2 linked regions of the Stegostoma tigrinum genome follow. Each later gene encodes a partner of the first gene's protein in a complex. Links are inferred from orthologs where the notes say so. Each region holds a gene or a part of one and is shown on either strand. Other genes may lie near its edges.

Region 1 (8,452 bases):
CTGCCCTCTGGGCAATTAGGGATGGGCAATAAGTGCTGCCTAGCCAGAAACAGCCTCATCCCATGAAAGAATGAAGAAAAAAGTGTACACTTTAACATCATATAATTAAAAAATACACAGGAAAAGAATCACATATAGCAAACTGAAGGTTAAACCAAAAAAAGTTTTAAAAAGCCTGTAAACCTGAATTATAAGTGGTAATTTTCAACAGAGATCAGGTACTGAAATTGCAGTCTAATCTGAATGCCTGGCACTACACGACACAAGGACAAGATGAATACAGTACAGGGAAGTATCTTGGCCTACTTTAGAACATTCTAAATAAGTGTGGAGGTATTTTCAATGAAAGTCTCCAACTGCTTCTACAAGTCAATTAATTTCAAAATATTTGCATTAACTATCATAAATGAATGCCAATTTGTGATGTCAATTATTATCGCAAAGTCCTAAACTTGCCTTTCACTCGTTTGATAGACAGAAGTGAACCACTTCCGTGGAATACGTAGATTTATTTAATCTACACACACAGTGCACCTATTTTGTTTCCAAAAACCTGAATCAGAGGGGGTGTGCACATTGCTCAAGGCGCAACTAGATACACATCTGCAAAAAAAAGTCAACTTCAAGTTGAAGGGAAAAGATAGCAATTAATCAGTTAACTACAGTAATTGTTGAAATTACAGCAAAACTAAAGCACAAAATTTAAGACTCTCAAAAAAGTGGTAATCAAATAACATAAGGATGCAACTCAAGCACTCTGATCAACTGACACAGGCTGGCGCTTTTCCCCCAGAGCACTGGCTGAGGTTTATAAAATCATGTGGGGCATAGATAGGGCAAATAGACAAGGTCTTTTTCCCAGGGTGGGGGAGTCTAAAACTACAGGGCATAGGTTTAAGGTGAGGGGAAAGATTTAAAAGGGACTGAAGAGGCAACAGAGGGTGGAGCATGGATGGAACAGGCTGCCACAAGAGGTGGAGGAGGCTGGAACAATTACAATATTTTAAAAAGACATCTGGGTGGGTATATGAATAGGAAATGTTTAAGCGGGGAATGGGCCAAATGCAAGCATATGGGACTAGATCAGTTTCGGATATCTGGTCATTGAGACAAGTTGAACCAAAGGACTTGTTTCTCTGCTGTATAATCTCTGACTCTCTAACAAAGACAATTACCTGTAATGGCAACTGTTTCATCCAGCACTCAGCTAATTTATTATTCTGAATTCTATGTAATAATTTGTAAAATACAATCTTAAATGTGCCAAAGTCAGCATATGTATGGTAATGAAAGAAATCCACAACTCTTCATAAATTCCTAAGTAATTTTATTTATTAAAAATAAATTGTTTGAGATTAAATATCCATCATGATTTTACCATGTTCTTCCAGGTAAGCCTGCAGTCTCTGGATGAGATCTTGCTTGTTTCCTTTAGTATCCAGCTCCCGTGAAGCACATTCTTGTCTCAGTTCAGTCAACTAAAGCACAATGAGAACAAACAAATAGTCAGAACCATGGAGGTTTTCAGTAAAGAAAGGATTCAGGAAATTGGAGTGGACTACATGGCTGGGTCAGCCTGCTTCATTCATTACAATGCGGTTGATCTTTGGCTTCAACTCCCTTTCCTGGTCGCTCCCCATTCCCTTGATTCCAAGGCATCAAAAATCCATCTATCCACAAACCTTCACAATCCTTCAAGTGAAGCAATTTCTCCTCAGCTAGCCCCAAGTAGTTACTCTCTTATCCAGAAAGTAAGCCACCATGTTTTTGGCTCCCCAATCAGTGAAAATAATCTGTCTACCCAGAGTCTACTCAGGATCTTGTACCTTTCAATGACAGCGCCTTTCATTCTTTTCAACTCTGGTAAACATTGCCCAAACTATTCAGTCTCAATACAGGACAATCCCCTCATCCCCATGACTGATTTAGTGAACCTTTGCTGTACTGCCTCTGCACACAAGTATAATCTCCCTTAAAAATGGAAATTAAACTGCACATACCTTGTTTCAAAACCATGTTCAATTAAAGCAAGGATTTGTTTGCTGCACTCCAATCCTCAAATAATAAAAGGACATGCCACTTGCATTCTTAATTGCTTGCTGTACATGCATTTCAACTTTCTACACTCCTTGTACAAATCAGCCCCACATTCTTTGAAAATCAACATGAATTTCACATCTTTCCTTTTCACATTTATGCTAGTTCTTAGCTGAATCAATCCAAAACCATTCCAGTAACTTCACTTTCTTCTCACAATCAGTTACCTATCCCAAAGTAATCCCAGTACTGTTCTCCTTATGGGAATTTAAAATTGACAACCCATCAATTGTGCAACGATAGGGTAGCCTTTTCTGACTCATAACACTAGGATCCAGTGCCAATTTAAAATAAAACTTTCAAAATGGCTCAAGTTCTTTGCTCCAATTTCTGCGTCCTGCGTTATAAATTTCCCCAACTTCTATGAGTGCGAATCTACAGAATTTTGCCTTCAATGTACATTTTAAGCACCCAGAAAGATGGTTTAGCAGTGGATCAAGCAACGGTTTGTGCAAGTTAGCTTTTATACAGCTTCCTTAGTTACAGCATTTTTAAAAAAAGACTGCTTTTCTTAAACGTTTCGTCCACTTGTTCAGATGTTCGTGGAGCCATAACCCATTTGAAATATCTTTAGAACGGAACAAACAGCCCCAGTTCAGACCAAATAACCGTGCGGGGGCACGGTTTCCTATTTCTATGTGATCCATGGGCGGTGCACTTAGTTAATCGGCCATTCCGGAAACTTATTCGTTTCCTTTCAATGTGACACTCAAAACACGTCCCACACGACTAAGCTGCTTAAAACGTTCGAAGAATGTTAGACTAGCACGGGGAGGAAAAAGCAACCCCACCTTCAAGAGGAGGGAAAATATAGCCCACTCTACGGGTCTCCAGAGGAGAATTTCTGAGCAGAATCGGAACAGAAAAAGTGAAGTACGTAATAGTCACTAAATCACAAAACCTTCGCTCTAACGGCGAACACATTATCCCTATCTAAACTCCCTTTACCTTCAATTTGCTGATATCCACCGCCGTTCTGTCCGCCATCTTGCCAGACTCTTACCCGCTCACCACCTATCCAATAGGCATCCGCCTTACTCACTGATCAACAAGCTACCTCACCATTGGCTCAAAAGAGACAGGGGTGGGTGTGTTCAATATGCCGTTACTATCGGAATAAGGAGAAAAAAGAAATAAATTAATACAGCAAAAACTTACAAATATATTGCCCAACGTTTAACAGCAAATACTAGTTAGATTGAAATTTTAAAATTATGCACAATTATGGTGAGAGCGATGACAATAAATCCTATGGAAAATTATCATACGCGACTCTTGCCAGTGAGTGGTTTGGTGGCCATCTTCATCGGAATAACCACCAGATATTCAGTAATCTTCAAGGATGAATATCAGAAAGGAGAGCTGTTTCTGCAATTGCTAATCCATTCATCTTTGTTTATTTGTGTCAATGAACAGAAAATTGTGGAAATGGCAAGCACAGAAAGGAAAACCTTTTACCAAACAGCCTGTCGTGTTTTTTTTGTAAAGATTGTACGTGTGCAGACCTGTTGTACATTTACGTTTGCAAGTGGACCAGTCTTGTGAGAACATTTGGCGATGTTTTTAATTGAGTTACCACTTCTGAACTGGATAAAAGTTTGAAGCTGAATTCTTAATGCATGAGTATCAGCACTTGGAACCTGTGGGCTTCGGAACGAAGCTTAATCTTGTCCTTATGTACTGTCCAAACCTATTCCCTACCACAGTTCACTGGAGAGTGATCAAAGGGAGCAACTCTGACTGATACCTCCCTCCGTTGCTTCGGGCTGGTGAGGCCAATTTTAACCCAGTACTTCGCTATCTGAGGTCAAACAACTCATTACAAGCTGGGGTTAATACTGGGACCATTTGGTCATAAGACCATAAGACACAGGAGTGGAAGTAAGGCCATTCGGCCCATCAAGTCCACTCCGCCATTTAATCATGGCTGATTTCAACTCCACTTCCCTGCACTCTCCCCGTAGCCCTTACTGCCTTATGAGATCAAGAATTTATCAATCTCTGCTTTAAAGACATTTAACATCCCGGCCTCCACTGCGCTCCATGGCATTGAATTCTACAGGCCCACCACTCTCTGGCTGAAGAAATGTTTCCTCATTTCCGTTCTAAATTGACCCCCTCTAATTCTAAGGCTGTGCCCATGGGTCCTAGTCTCCCCACCTAATGGAAACAACTTCCTAGCGTCCACCCTTTCTAAACCATACATTATCCTGTAAGTTTCTATTAGATCTCCCCTCAACCTTCTAAACTCCAATGAATACAATCCCAGGATCCTCAGCCATTCATTGTCCGTTAAACCTACCGTTCCAGGGATCATCCATGTGAATCTCTGCTGGACATGCTCCAGCGCCAGTATGTCCTTCCTGACATGTGGGGCCCAAAATTGGAACAAGTATTCTAAATGGGACCTAACTAGAGCTTTATAAAGTCTCAGAAGCACATCGCCGCTTTTATATTCCAACCCTCTTGAGATAAGTGACAATATTACATTCGCTTTCTTAATCACAGACTCAACCTGTAAGTTAACCTTTAGAGAATCCTGGACTAGCATTCCCAGATCCCTTTGTACTTCGGCTTTATGAATTTTCTCACCATTTAGAAAATAGTCAATGCCCGTATTCTTTTTTCCAAAGTACAACACCTCGCATTTGCTCACGTTGAATTTCATCAGCCATTTCCTGGACCACTCACCTAAACTGTCTAAATCTTCCTGCAGCCTCCCCACCTCCTCAGTACTACCTGCCTGTCCACCTAACTTCGTATCATTCGCAAACTTCGCCAGAATGTCCCCAGTCCCTTCATCCAGATCATTAATATATAAAGTGAACAGCTGCGGCCCCAACAATGAACCCTGAGGGACATCACTTGTTACCGGTTGCCATTCTGAAAAAGAGCCATTTACCTGAACTCTCTGCCTTCTGTCAGACAGCGAATCCTCAATCCATGCCAGTAGCTCACCTCAAACATCATGAGCCCTCACCTTACTCAGCAGCCTCCCGTGAGGCACCTTATCAAAGGCCTTTTGGAAGTCTAGATAGATAACATCTACTGGGTTTCCCTGGTCTAACCTACTTGTTACCTCTTCAAAGAATTCTAACAGGTTTGTCAGGCATGACCTCCCCTTACTAAATCCATGCTGACTTGTCTAATCTGACTCTGCATTTCCAGGAATTTAGAAATCTCATCCTTCACGATGGATTCTAGAATTTTACTAACAACCGAGGTTAGGCTAATCGGTCTGTAATTTTCCATCTTTTGCCTTGATCCTTTCTTAAACAAGGGGGTTACAACAGCAATTTTCCAATCATCTGGGACTTTCCCTGACTCCAGTGACTTTTGAAAGATCACAACCAACACCTCCGCTATTTCCTCAGCCACCTCCCTCAGAACCCGAGGATGTAGCCCATCGGGGCCAGGAGATTTATCAATTTTTAGACCTTTTAGCTTTTCTAGCACTTTCTCTTTTGTAATGCCTACCATACTCAACTCTTTCTGGGTGAAATTGGGGACACAGTACAGAGGTTCATCCCAAAGAAATGAAAGATTATCCGGCGGGGGTGGGGGGGAGATTAGACAGCCATGGCTGACAAAGGAAGTCAGGAAATATATCAAAGAAAAAGAGACAGCCTATAAAGTGGCCAAGAACACTGGGAAATCAGAAGATTGGGAAGGCTACAAAAACAAACAGAGGATAACAAAGAGAGCAATAAGGAAGGAGAGGATCAAATATGAAGGTAGGCTAGCTAGTAATATTAGAAATGATAGTAAAAGCTTCTTTCAATACATAAGAAACAAACGAGAGGCAAAAGTAGATATTGGGCCGCTCCAAACTGATGCTGGAAGGCTTGTGATGGGAGATAAGGAAATAGCTGAAGAACTTAATAAGTACTTTGCATCAGTCTTCACAGTGAAAGACATGAGTAGTATGCCAACAATTAAGGAGAGTCGGGGGCAGAGTTGAGTACGGTAGGCATTACAAAAGAGAAAGTGCTAGAAAAGCTAAAAGGTCTAAAAATTCATAAATCTCCTAGCCCTGATGGGCTACATCCTTGAGTTCTGGGGGAAGTGGCTGAATAAATAGAGGAGGCGTTGGTTGAGGAAGCCTGCTCCCTTGTGAGCTCCATCACAAGCTGTTCCAAAAAGCCATCCTGTAAGCATTCCATGAATTCCTTTTCTTTGGATCCACCAGCAACATTGTTGACCCAGTCCACCTGCATATAGAAGTCCCCCATGATCACCATGACCTTGCCTTTCTGACATGCCCTATCTATTTCCTGGTGCATCTTGTGCCCCTGGTCCTGATCACTGTTAGGAGGCCTGTACATAACTCCCATTATAGTTTTTTTGCCTTTGTGGTTCCTCAACTTCACCCACACAGACTCCACATCATATGACTCTATGTCATTCAGTGCCATAGATTTAATTTCATTCTTAACTAACAGGGCAACCCCGCCCCCTCTGCCCACCTCCCTGTCTTTTCAATAAGTTGTAAATCCTTGGATGTTTAACCGCCAGTCCTGAACTCCCTGCAAACACGTCTCTGTGATGCCTACCCATCATAATCATTCAAGATGATTTGTGCTGTTAATTCACCTACTTTGTTGCGAATACTACAAGCATTTAGGTAAAGTGCCTTAATGCAAACTTTCTTATCATTACTAGAGATATTTAAGTGGTACCTTTATGCATTTTCTCACAAAACCATTGGAGAGCTACTGTATTAAATGCTAAAACTGTAAGTGGCAGCTGTCCTAGCTGATCTTAGCCAATTTCCCTGCACTGGGGAGGAGGAAAATCAGAGAGGATTCTGGTTTCTAATGCCACAATGCCTGACATATTGTAATTTCACCTCAGAATAGATGTAGTATATTGTGAACTTCTCAATGTGGTTGCTGCCCAATGTCAGCCTTGACTCAGTACACTCTCACCTGTGTCAGGAGGTTGTCAATTTAAGCTTCACATGAATGCATGGCTCGCTGCAGTATTGAAGCTGCTGTCTTTCAATGTCCTATCTGCCCACTTAGGTGATCATAAAAGATCCCTTGGTACTAATATAAAGAACTAGAGAGTTCCCCTGATGTCCTCATTAAATATTTATCCTCAAATCAACATCTGCTGGATATTTGTGAGCCTTTACTGTGCAATTTAGCTGTTGTGTTTACAACGTTACAGCAATGACTACACGTCAAGAATATTTAATTGGCCGTGAAGTACTTTGGAATGACCTGTGTATACAAAAAGCACTTTATAAATGCGAGTGCTTTTTGTTGTGTTTCATTGGCTATAAGAGCAGGCCTGAAGCTAGGAATACTGCAGCAAGTAACTCACCTCCTGTCTCCTCAAAGTCTGTCCACCATCTACAAGGCACAAGTCAGGAGTGTGATGGAATACTCCCCGCTTGCCTAGATGGGTGCAGCCCAAACAACACTCAAGAAGCTCAACACCATCCAGGATAAAGCAGCCCACTTGATTGGCACTACATTCACAAACATCCATTCCCTCCACCACCGACACTCAGTCGCAGCAGTGTGTACTATCTACAAGATGTGCTGCAGAAATTCACCAAAGATCCTCAGACATCCCCAAACCTATGACCACTTCCATCTAGAAGAACAAAGACATCAGACATATGGGAACACCACCACCTCCAAGTTCTCCGACGCGCCTCTCACAATCCTGAATGGGAATATATCACCATTTCTTCACTGTCGCTGGGTCAAAATCCTGGAATTCCCTCACTAGTAGCATTGTGGGTCAACCTATTGCAGGAGGACTGCAGCAGTTCAAGAAGGCAGTTCACCAACTCCTTCTGAAGGGCAACTAAGGGATGGGCACGAAATTCTGGCCAGCCAGTGACACCCACATCCCACAAATGAACACTCCCATTTATGAGGTATGTTTCAAAACTACCTGCAGTAGCACTCTTGCTACCCTAATATCACCATTTCTAACATAGAGTCATGCAGCACAGGAACCGATCCTTCAGTCCAACTCATCTGCCGAACAGACATCCCAATTTGACCTAGTCCCATTTGCCAGCATTTGGCCCAAATCCCTCTTAACCCTTCGTATTCACATATCCATTGTAGTGATTGTAATGTGGACAGCCAGGTGGACTTCACAGAATATGAGTTCCCTGATTGGAGCTGTTAATCTAGTCCAATCAAGGAACCCTGGCTGACAGATGTAAACCGGAGTGTCAGAGATTCTCCTCACTTTGGGAGCTGGTTCTAAGGAAGCTGGATCAGAATCGAGGATGCTCCAAGAGCAAATAAAGGGTGACTTGGTGATGAGATACCAACCACTGAGTTATTTCAGAAGGAATGAGCATGCTCCTGAAGAAATTCACTCACAA
Region 2 (7,773 bases), on another chromosome or scaffold:
AAGTAGGCTTACATGCGTAATAGGTCAAATGACAAAATGTGTGACAGTGAAGGAAAGAATTACAGGGATACAAAATATATATTTTGCTTCAGTTATTACAGAAGAGGTGAATACAAGGAACTAACAAAGATTGTTGTAGAACAGTTAACATAAGTTGACCTATTTCTAACAGCACAGAAACTACCTATTCAGCCCAATGTTTCTGCTCCATTAAAGCTTCGTTCTCACCTATAACCTTACCTAAAGGCAGCACACCCTCAATATGACGTTGGAGCCTCAGCTTGAATTGTGTTCAAGCAGGATTAGAGGAGTTTACAATGCAAAGAGAAATAATGCTTAAATTACTCAGATTTAATATGAACAAATCACATGATTTACATCCTGAGCAAAGCTAAAGAAAAATGTAACTGAGAGTCACAAAGACTGTGACTATGATTTCCAAAATCTTGCAGGAAACATTAACAGCACAAGAGCAAAGCAGTCAAATAATGCCTCTCTTCAGCAGAATGGATTGAGAAACGCCAGGAAAATTACAAGCTATCTATTTTCACTTCAGTTCTTAGCAAACTCATGAAGCCTACAGTAAAGGTTGAAATTAACACGCATCTGAAAAAAAAAGCAAACACCCAACATTATTGCTAGTCAGCAAGTACTGCTTGATAAATAGGTTTGATAGGCAAATTCCAATATATAAATGATGTTCATGAATGCACACATGGTAATTCGTTGCCACACTTTTTTTTAAAGTTACAATGCACCTAAGTGGCACTATAATTCAGCCATCAGGTATCTATTATATCTGTGCGTCATTATACTGCCAGTCTGGCCACACCACAATTTGAAAAATAGCTTATCCTTGCTTTCACGTTTCTCAGTTTTCCACCTCTCCCTGTGTCTACAACTTCTGCCAGAACTACAATCCTATGAGATCTCATTATTTTTCCGTATTCTGCCTTATGCACACCTGATTTTAATCACTCCACCCTAAGCTCTGGAATTCCATCCGTAAACCATTCCAACTCTCTCCTCCTCCTTTAAGATGCTCCTTAAACTTGGCATAAAATCAAAATAGCACAGCTGCTGGAAGTCTGAAACAAATACAGAAAAAGTTAGAAACACTCAGTATGTAAGGCAGCAGAGAAGGGAAGAACTGGAAAATGTTAGAATTCCTTAGAACTTATCTTTTAAAGAAGCATTTGGTCACCTGTCCTCATACCTTATGAGCTTTGGTATCAAATTTTGATAATGCTCCTGTGAAGCACCTTAGGACAGTTTATGATAAGTATAATAAAGTTCAAAAGTGACAAAACTCTGTGCAGGAGGGAATCTTAAACATCTGAATTTGCATCATAGATTTAGTGCATATGAAGTTCAATTCAAAAGTCTCTAAATAGTTAACTGAATTATTTGGTGAGATTTAAACTTTTGTCAATGATCTTTTTACAGTTAAGACTAAAATAATTCAACATACTTGATATATCAGACATTAATAGCACCTTTATGGGGAAAGGGTAAAAAGGAAAGATGGTTTGGGATCTGAAGATAGTTAAGTATGGAGGAGGTTGAAAGGTGATCTTTTGGAGGTTTGTAAAATCACGAGGAGTATAGAGATAAGGTTAAATGTAGGTATCTCTTCCCTGGGTCATGCATTTCAAGATTAAGGTGCATATTTTTAAAGATGACAGGGGAGAGATTTACAAATGACATGGAGGGCACTTGTTTTAAAAACACAATAGGGTGGTTCCTGTGTGGAATGAACTTCCTGAGGAAATGGTGAATGTGGGCACAAATAGAACATGTAAAAGACACTTAGGTAAGTACATGAATAAGAAAGGTTTGGAAGTATATGGGCCAGGAACAGGCAGGTGAAACTGGTTTAGTTTGGGATGACTTTCGGCATAAATTGGTTGGACCGAAGCATCTAGTTTTTCGTTTTCGTGCTGTACGACTCTATGAATCTATAACACATCTCTAGATGAAGAGTAGACATTTTAAACAACCTGTTCAATCATGTCTGGGACAGGTGGGACTTGAAAGCAGGTCTCCTAACTCAGTAGTACAGGCACTACCATTGCACCACAAAAAACCCTGCTTAAAAGCGTAACATACCAACAGAGCTATCTGGGTTCACTTGATGTCGGGTATGCTGACATCCAGAGTGTGTCAGCTATTTAGTTAAAAGTAATTACTGCACTAAGGTATAGCAAACAAATAAAAGAATCAGCAAGTAAAGATCAGAATCATGAAGTTATTCCCAGGGGTGATAAGAATAGGATTTTGAGCAAACAATGCACAGTCTACTTCATTAGGAATAATTTGTAGAAGGTGGAGGCAAGATGGGGAAAATACTAGACAAGTCCAGCCTCAAGCATTTGCATTTGGTAACAATAGGATAAAGAGTGTCAGAAATAATGCAGTCTCAACAGAAGGTGGGAAATGATGCTTATCTTTGCCAAGCATAGTTGTACGACCAAAGGTTTGAAAGCAACCAGCTGGTAAGTCATGGCCAAATGCAAATAGATATTGACTAAAGTGAAGACAAAGTTTTTTTTGGCTTTGCTAACATTAAACGTGGAGTACATTTTGGCCACGATGAGAAGCAAGAGCCTTGAGATCAAGGGAAGAACGTGAGGAGTAAAGGTGACATTGACCTATGTATGGAAATTGTCCTCACACTTCTCGGTTATAGTTCCACAGAGCAGTGTCTGACCAATTTCTGAAGAAGGGTCTAGGCCAAAATGTCAGCTCTCCTGCTCCTCTGATACTGCTCAGCCTGCTGTGTTCATCCAGCTCTACACCTTGTTATCATGGATCAAAGAAGGATCGGGGAAGCTATAGACGCCATCATCAAGCCATATCAACTCCGCCCTTCTCGTAAAGGCTGGGACAGATCCTTCTCTTCCTGTTGATTGTAAATGTTTATTTGCAAAGTGCGGGTGTCAGGGATAGGTCCAAAGCAGAACAGAGTGAAGGGCCCACTGACCATATCCTCTGCTGCTCCGCCCTCAGTTACTGATACTTTGTTCTCTGGCAAGGTCCCTACTCCACTCCCACCTCTGCGAACTACTTGGTCTCTTTAAAACTCCATCACATAACCGACTGCCTGTGGGTTTAACCGGAACTTAATCAGAATCATGACCCGAGGATCCAGCCGGCAGAGACCCGGGCTCCACCAGCACGGACCGGCTGAAACAACAACGAGCCGATTCAACACGACAATCGCACCGCTCCCCCAACTCAGTGCCCGAAAGCAGGGTCCAGGGCCCAAGCCTCAGGTCCAGGCAGCGCACAACTAGGAAAGGAAACAGGCCCTACCATCAGTGACCGACATGGCGGCTCCAGGCCGAGCAAACATCCGCGGCGCACCAAGAGGCGGGGTCAGAGGTTTGGGAGGTGGAGTCAAGGTATTTGGGGGTGGGGGGTTTCGGGAGGCGGAGTCATGTTGACGTAGAGATCGGGAGGCGGAGTCCGGGGGCGAGTGGGGAGTGGAGGTATTTTATTTATTATTATCGTATGTCGTGCAGGTAGATCGTACGACAAGGGTACTGGACCTGAGAGGAATACAGTATTACGGCTGTAGAGAAGGCGCACAAAGAGAAAGGTCAACATTAAATTTGAAAGGTCCATTCGGAGTCGAATAACAGCAGGAAAAAAGCTGTTCTTGAACCTGCTGGTACATGTGTTTAAGCTATTGTATTTTCTGCCTGACAGAAGCAGTTGGAAGAGGTTATAACCAGGGTGGGAGGTCGCTTTGATTATGGTGGCAAGCCTCTCCAAAGCAGTGAGAAGTGTGGGTAGAGTCAATGCGTGGGTCATTGTCTTGTGTGATGGACTGGGCATGTTCACAACTCAGTCATTTCTTATGGTCATGGGCACACAAGTTGCTGCACCAAGCCATGATGCATCCAGATTGAATGCTTTCTGTGGTGCATCTGTAAAAGTTGGTAAGAGTCTTAATGGACATGGCAAATTTCATAGAACATTACAGCACAGTACAGGCCCTTCGGCCTTTGATGTTGTGCCGACCTGTCATAGCGATCTGAAGCCCATCTAATCTACACTATTCCATGTACGTCCATATGCTTGTCCAATGATGACTTAAATGTACTAAAAGTTGGCGAATCTACTACCGATTGCTACTTCCTTAGCCTCCTGAAGAAATAGAGGCATTTTGTGTTTTCTTGACTGTCACATCAACGTAGATGGACCAGGACAGATTGTTGGTGATTGTCACACCTAGGAACGTGATGCTCCCAATTATTTCCACCTCATCTCCATTGATGTAGATGGTGGCATGCCTTCCATCTTGCTTCCTGAAGTCAATGACCAGCTCTTTCATTTGGTTTGAGGGAGAGATTGTTATCTTTACCCACACTACTAAGCATTCTCTCTTACTTGTATTTTGCCTCATCATTGTTTGAGATCTAACAGTGGTGTCATCAGCAAACTTGTAGATGGAGTTATGATGAAATTTGGCCACACTGCCGTGCGTGTAACAGAGAGTATAGTAAGGGGCTGATTACGCAGCCTTGTGAGGCACCGGTGTTGACGATTGTTACGGAGGAGGTGTTGCTGCATTTTCTCATTTATTGCGGTCTGTGGGTCAGGAAGTTGGGGATGCAATTGCAGAGGGTGGAACAGAGACCCAGGTCTTGGAATTTAGAGATTAATTTGGTTAGAATTGTAGTGTTGAAGGCAGAGCTGTAATCAATAAGTGGGAGTCTGACATCGGTAACCTTGTTGTCCAGATGTTCCAAGGATGAGTGTAGTGCCAGGGAAATGGTGTCTAATGTAGACCTGTAGGGACAAAAGGCGAATTGCAAGGGATCAAGGCAGCCTGGGAGGCTTCAGTTTATATGAGCCATTGACTATGGAGGTCAGAACTAGAATACCTAGATGAGTTTGCCACTACCGATACAGACTTCATAAGCAAGTGTATAAACGACTGCATGCCAAAAAAGGCAATCTGTATGTTCTCCAACCGGAAACGATGGATGAATCATTGAGGCACTTTGCATGAATTTTCCTTGGCACTGGGATGATGGTGGTCTTCTTGCAGCAGTTGGGGATTTCAGATTGTACTAAGGAGAAGTTAAAGATGTCAGTGATTACTCCTTCTCCGTGAGTCCCGATGAAGGGTTTTGGCCTGAAACATTGACTTTCTTGCTCCTTGGTTGCTGTGTGACTGGCTGTGCTTTTCCAGCTTCACGTTTATTGGTTCCAGCTTCCAGTATCTGCAATCCTGATTGTCTCCAAGCTAATTCTTCCACTAGGATTTACACGCAGGATCCAAGTGCACAGCCGGGGACTCCATCTGGGCTAGTCACTTCTAGTGGGTTTACTCTCAAGAAGGCCGAGCTGACAGCTGCAGCGGTGACGGAGGGAACACATGCATCTGAGTCTATTGGGGCAGGTGACACCGTTTCGCTGGCCTTCTGTTTGAAACGAGCATAAAGTGCATTGAGCACAGCAGGGAGGGGTGTATTTTCATCAGTTATTAATTCTGCTTCATTTTGTAGCCTGTTGTGTTGTGTAGGCCTTGCCACAAATGGTGGGCGCCTGTGTGGTTAGTTTGGGGCTCTAGCTTAGTCCGATATTGCCTTCAAGTGTCTCTTCTGGCCTTACAGACGTTCTATATGGACTTCCTGTAAAGGTCAGGGCCACCTGACTTGAACTCGACACACTTGAATTTCAGTAGGCAATGGATCCCCGGCTCATCTGTTGTTTCCACCTCGGGAACATTCAGATTCACTTCTTTGGCACACAGTCCTCTACACATTTGCTAATGAAGTCTGTAACAGTAGTGGCGTTCTCATCTAGATATATTCATCTAGGAGGATGACAGAGGGAGGGTGTGAGGGAAGAGGGAAGGGAAGTGTTATTGATAGAGGGAAAGGACAAAGGGGGAATGACCAGAGGGAGGGGGCGATGAAGGAGGGGAGGGGAAGTAATACAGGGAGAGGGTAATGACAGAGGGAGGGAGTTAACAACAGAAGGTGGGGAGACAACAGTCGGGGGCTGGAATGACAGAAGGAGGGGTTGTCAGTGGTTGGGGGACATGACAGAGGGACAGGGGTTGGTGATGAGGGAGGGGGAATAACGTCAGAAACCAAAAGACACACAACCAAAGTTCTCCTTCACCAACAAGTGACAATATGTACCAAAATGCCTTTTCGCACAGCCTAATCAACAGTCTCTGATGATTATGCTCGCCAAATCATGTGTTACAGCCAGTATCCCAGGCTCTTGATCACTATCCCTGGATCAGTCCAACACAAGCTGCTAATTACAACCTACCACCCTTCCCCAGTTGGCAAATCAGTGCAGGTCCATGTTGGAAGCTATTTCAAAATTAACAGCTCTTTATTAAAAACAAAATAAGTGAATTAACGGTATAAATAGCAGTTAATGGGTATTGCCTTGTTGGCATCACACAGACATGGTTTCAAGGAAATCATTGCTGGGAGCTAAATTTTCAAGGGTATGTGATTTTTCAAACAGACAGAAAGAAAAGGGCATTTGGGATTTTTAAGAAGAAATGGAATAAGTACAATAGCAAGAAATTATCTTGAATTGATAGTTGTAGAGTAGGAACAGGACTAGACCATTCAGCCCCTTGACCCTGCTCTGCCATTCAATAAGACTATGGCTGATCTATAGCCTGATTCCATATGCCTGCCTGGGACCCAAAATCTCTTGATACCCTTGCTTGTTAAAATAAATTGTCTCTGTCAGATTTATTAAATTTAACAATTGAATTAGCATCAAACATCATTTGAGGAAGACAGTTCCAAACTTTATTACTCATCACATATAGAAGTAGTTTCTAACATGTCTCCTGAATGGTCTAGTTTAATTCTTAGACTATGTCCCCAGTTGTTGAACCTGCAACCAATGGAAATAGTTTATCTTTATGAAGACCTTGAGTGGATCACCTTTTAACCTTGAAAATTCTAGAAGGTAAAGGCCTAATTTGTCTAATCTCTCATCATAATTTGAATTCCTGAAGTTCAGTTATCATCCTTTTAAACCTGTGCTGAACTCCATCCAGGGCCAAAACATCCTTCCTAAGGCATGGTGCCCAGTTCTGCTGACAGTACTCTAAATGGGATTTACCAAGGGTTTTGTATAACTGCATAAAAACAAAAAGAACTGTGGAAGCTGTAAATCAGAACAAAAACAAAGTTGCTGGAAAAGCCCAGCAGGTCTGGCAGCATCTGTGAAGGGTCACTGGACCCGAAACGTTAATTCTGTTTGCTCCTTCGTGGATGCTGCCAGACCTGCTAAGCTTTTCCAGCAACTTTGTTTTTGTTTTGTATAACTGCAGCCTTACGTCTGTATCACCATATTTCGGCCCCTTAGTATGAAAACCAGCATTCCATTACTCTTCTTGACTAAATTCTGCACTTATTCGTGGCATTTTAAAGATCGATGCACCTCAATCCCTAAATCTCATTGATCAGGCAATGTATTTAAATTTATGCCTTATAAAAAAAATACCCTTGTCTATTCTTTTGCAATCCAAAAATGGGTAACCTTGCTTGTATTAAAATCCATCTGCCACATCTAAATGGGTAGAAGTAAGAAACAACAAGGGCAAGAAAAAGCTGATAGGGAGTAGTCTACAGGCACCCTAATAGACTCTGTCCTATCATTTAGCTACTTTAAGGAGATAAAGACAGCATCTAAAAAAGGCAGTGTGTTTATCACGGAAGATTTGAAATGCTAAGGCACACAAAGCTATCAGTCAAGTACTGGAAAATGGGATTAGAA

The links. The genes of interacting proteins can lie anywhere in the genome.
Region 2: sarnp (region 1) and thoc7 share a complex: the UniProt entries of both Homo sapiens proteins name them as parts of the transcription/export (TREX) complex. The link is inferred for Stegostoma tigrinum from reciprocal best matches to the Homo sapiens genes SARNP and THOC7.

The regions. Positions count from the first base shown.
Region 1 is NC_081404.1:18,536,592-18,545,043, reverse strand, and holds the start of sarnp (SAP domain-containing ribonucleoprotein), read right to left. Parts: upstream 3,184-8,452; 5' UTR 3,085-3,183; coding exon 3,046-3,084; intron 1,479-3,045; coding exon 1,379-1,478; intron 1-1,378. UniProt on the Homo sapiens protein: Binds both single-stranded and double-stranded DNA with higher affinity for the single-stranded form. Specifically binds to scaffold/matrix attachment region DNA. Also binds single-stranded RNA. Enhances RNA unwinding activity of DDX39A.
Region 2 is NC_081364.1:48,290,655-48,298,427, reverse strand, and holds the start of thoc7 (THO complex subunit 7 homolog), read right to left. Parts: upstream 3,416-7,773; 5' UTR 3,356-3,415; coding exon 3,316-3,355; intron 1,089-3,315; exon of another isoform or gene 965-1,088; intron 1-964. UniProt on the Homo sapiens protein: Component of the THO subcomplex of the TREX complex which is thought to couple mRNA transcription, processing and nuclear export, and which specifically associates with spliced mRNA and not with unspliced pre-mRNA.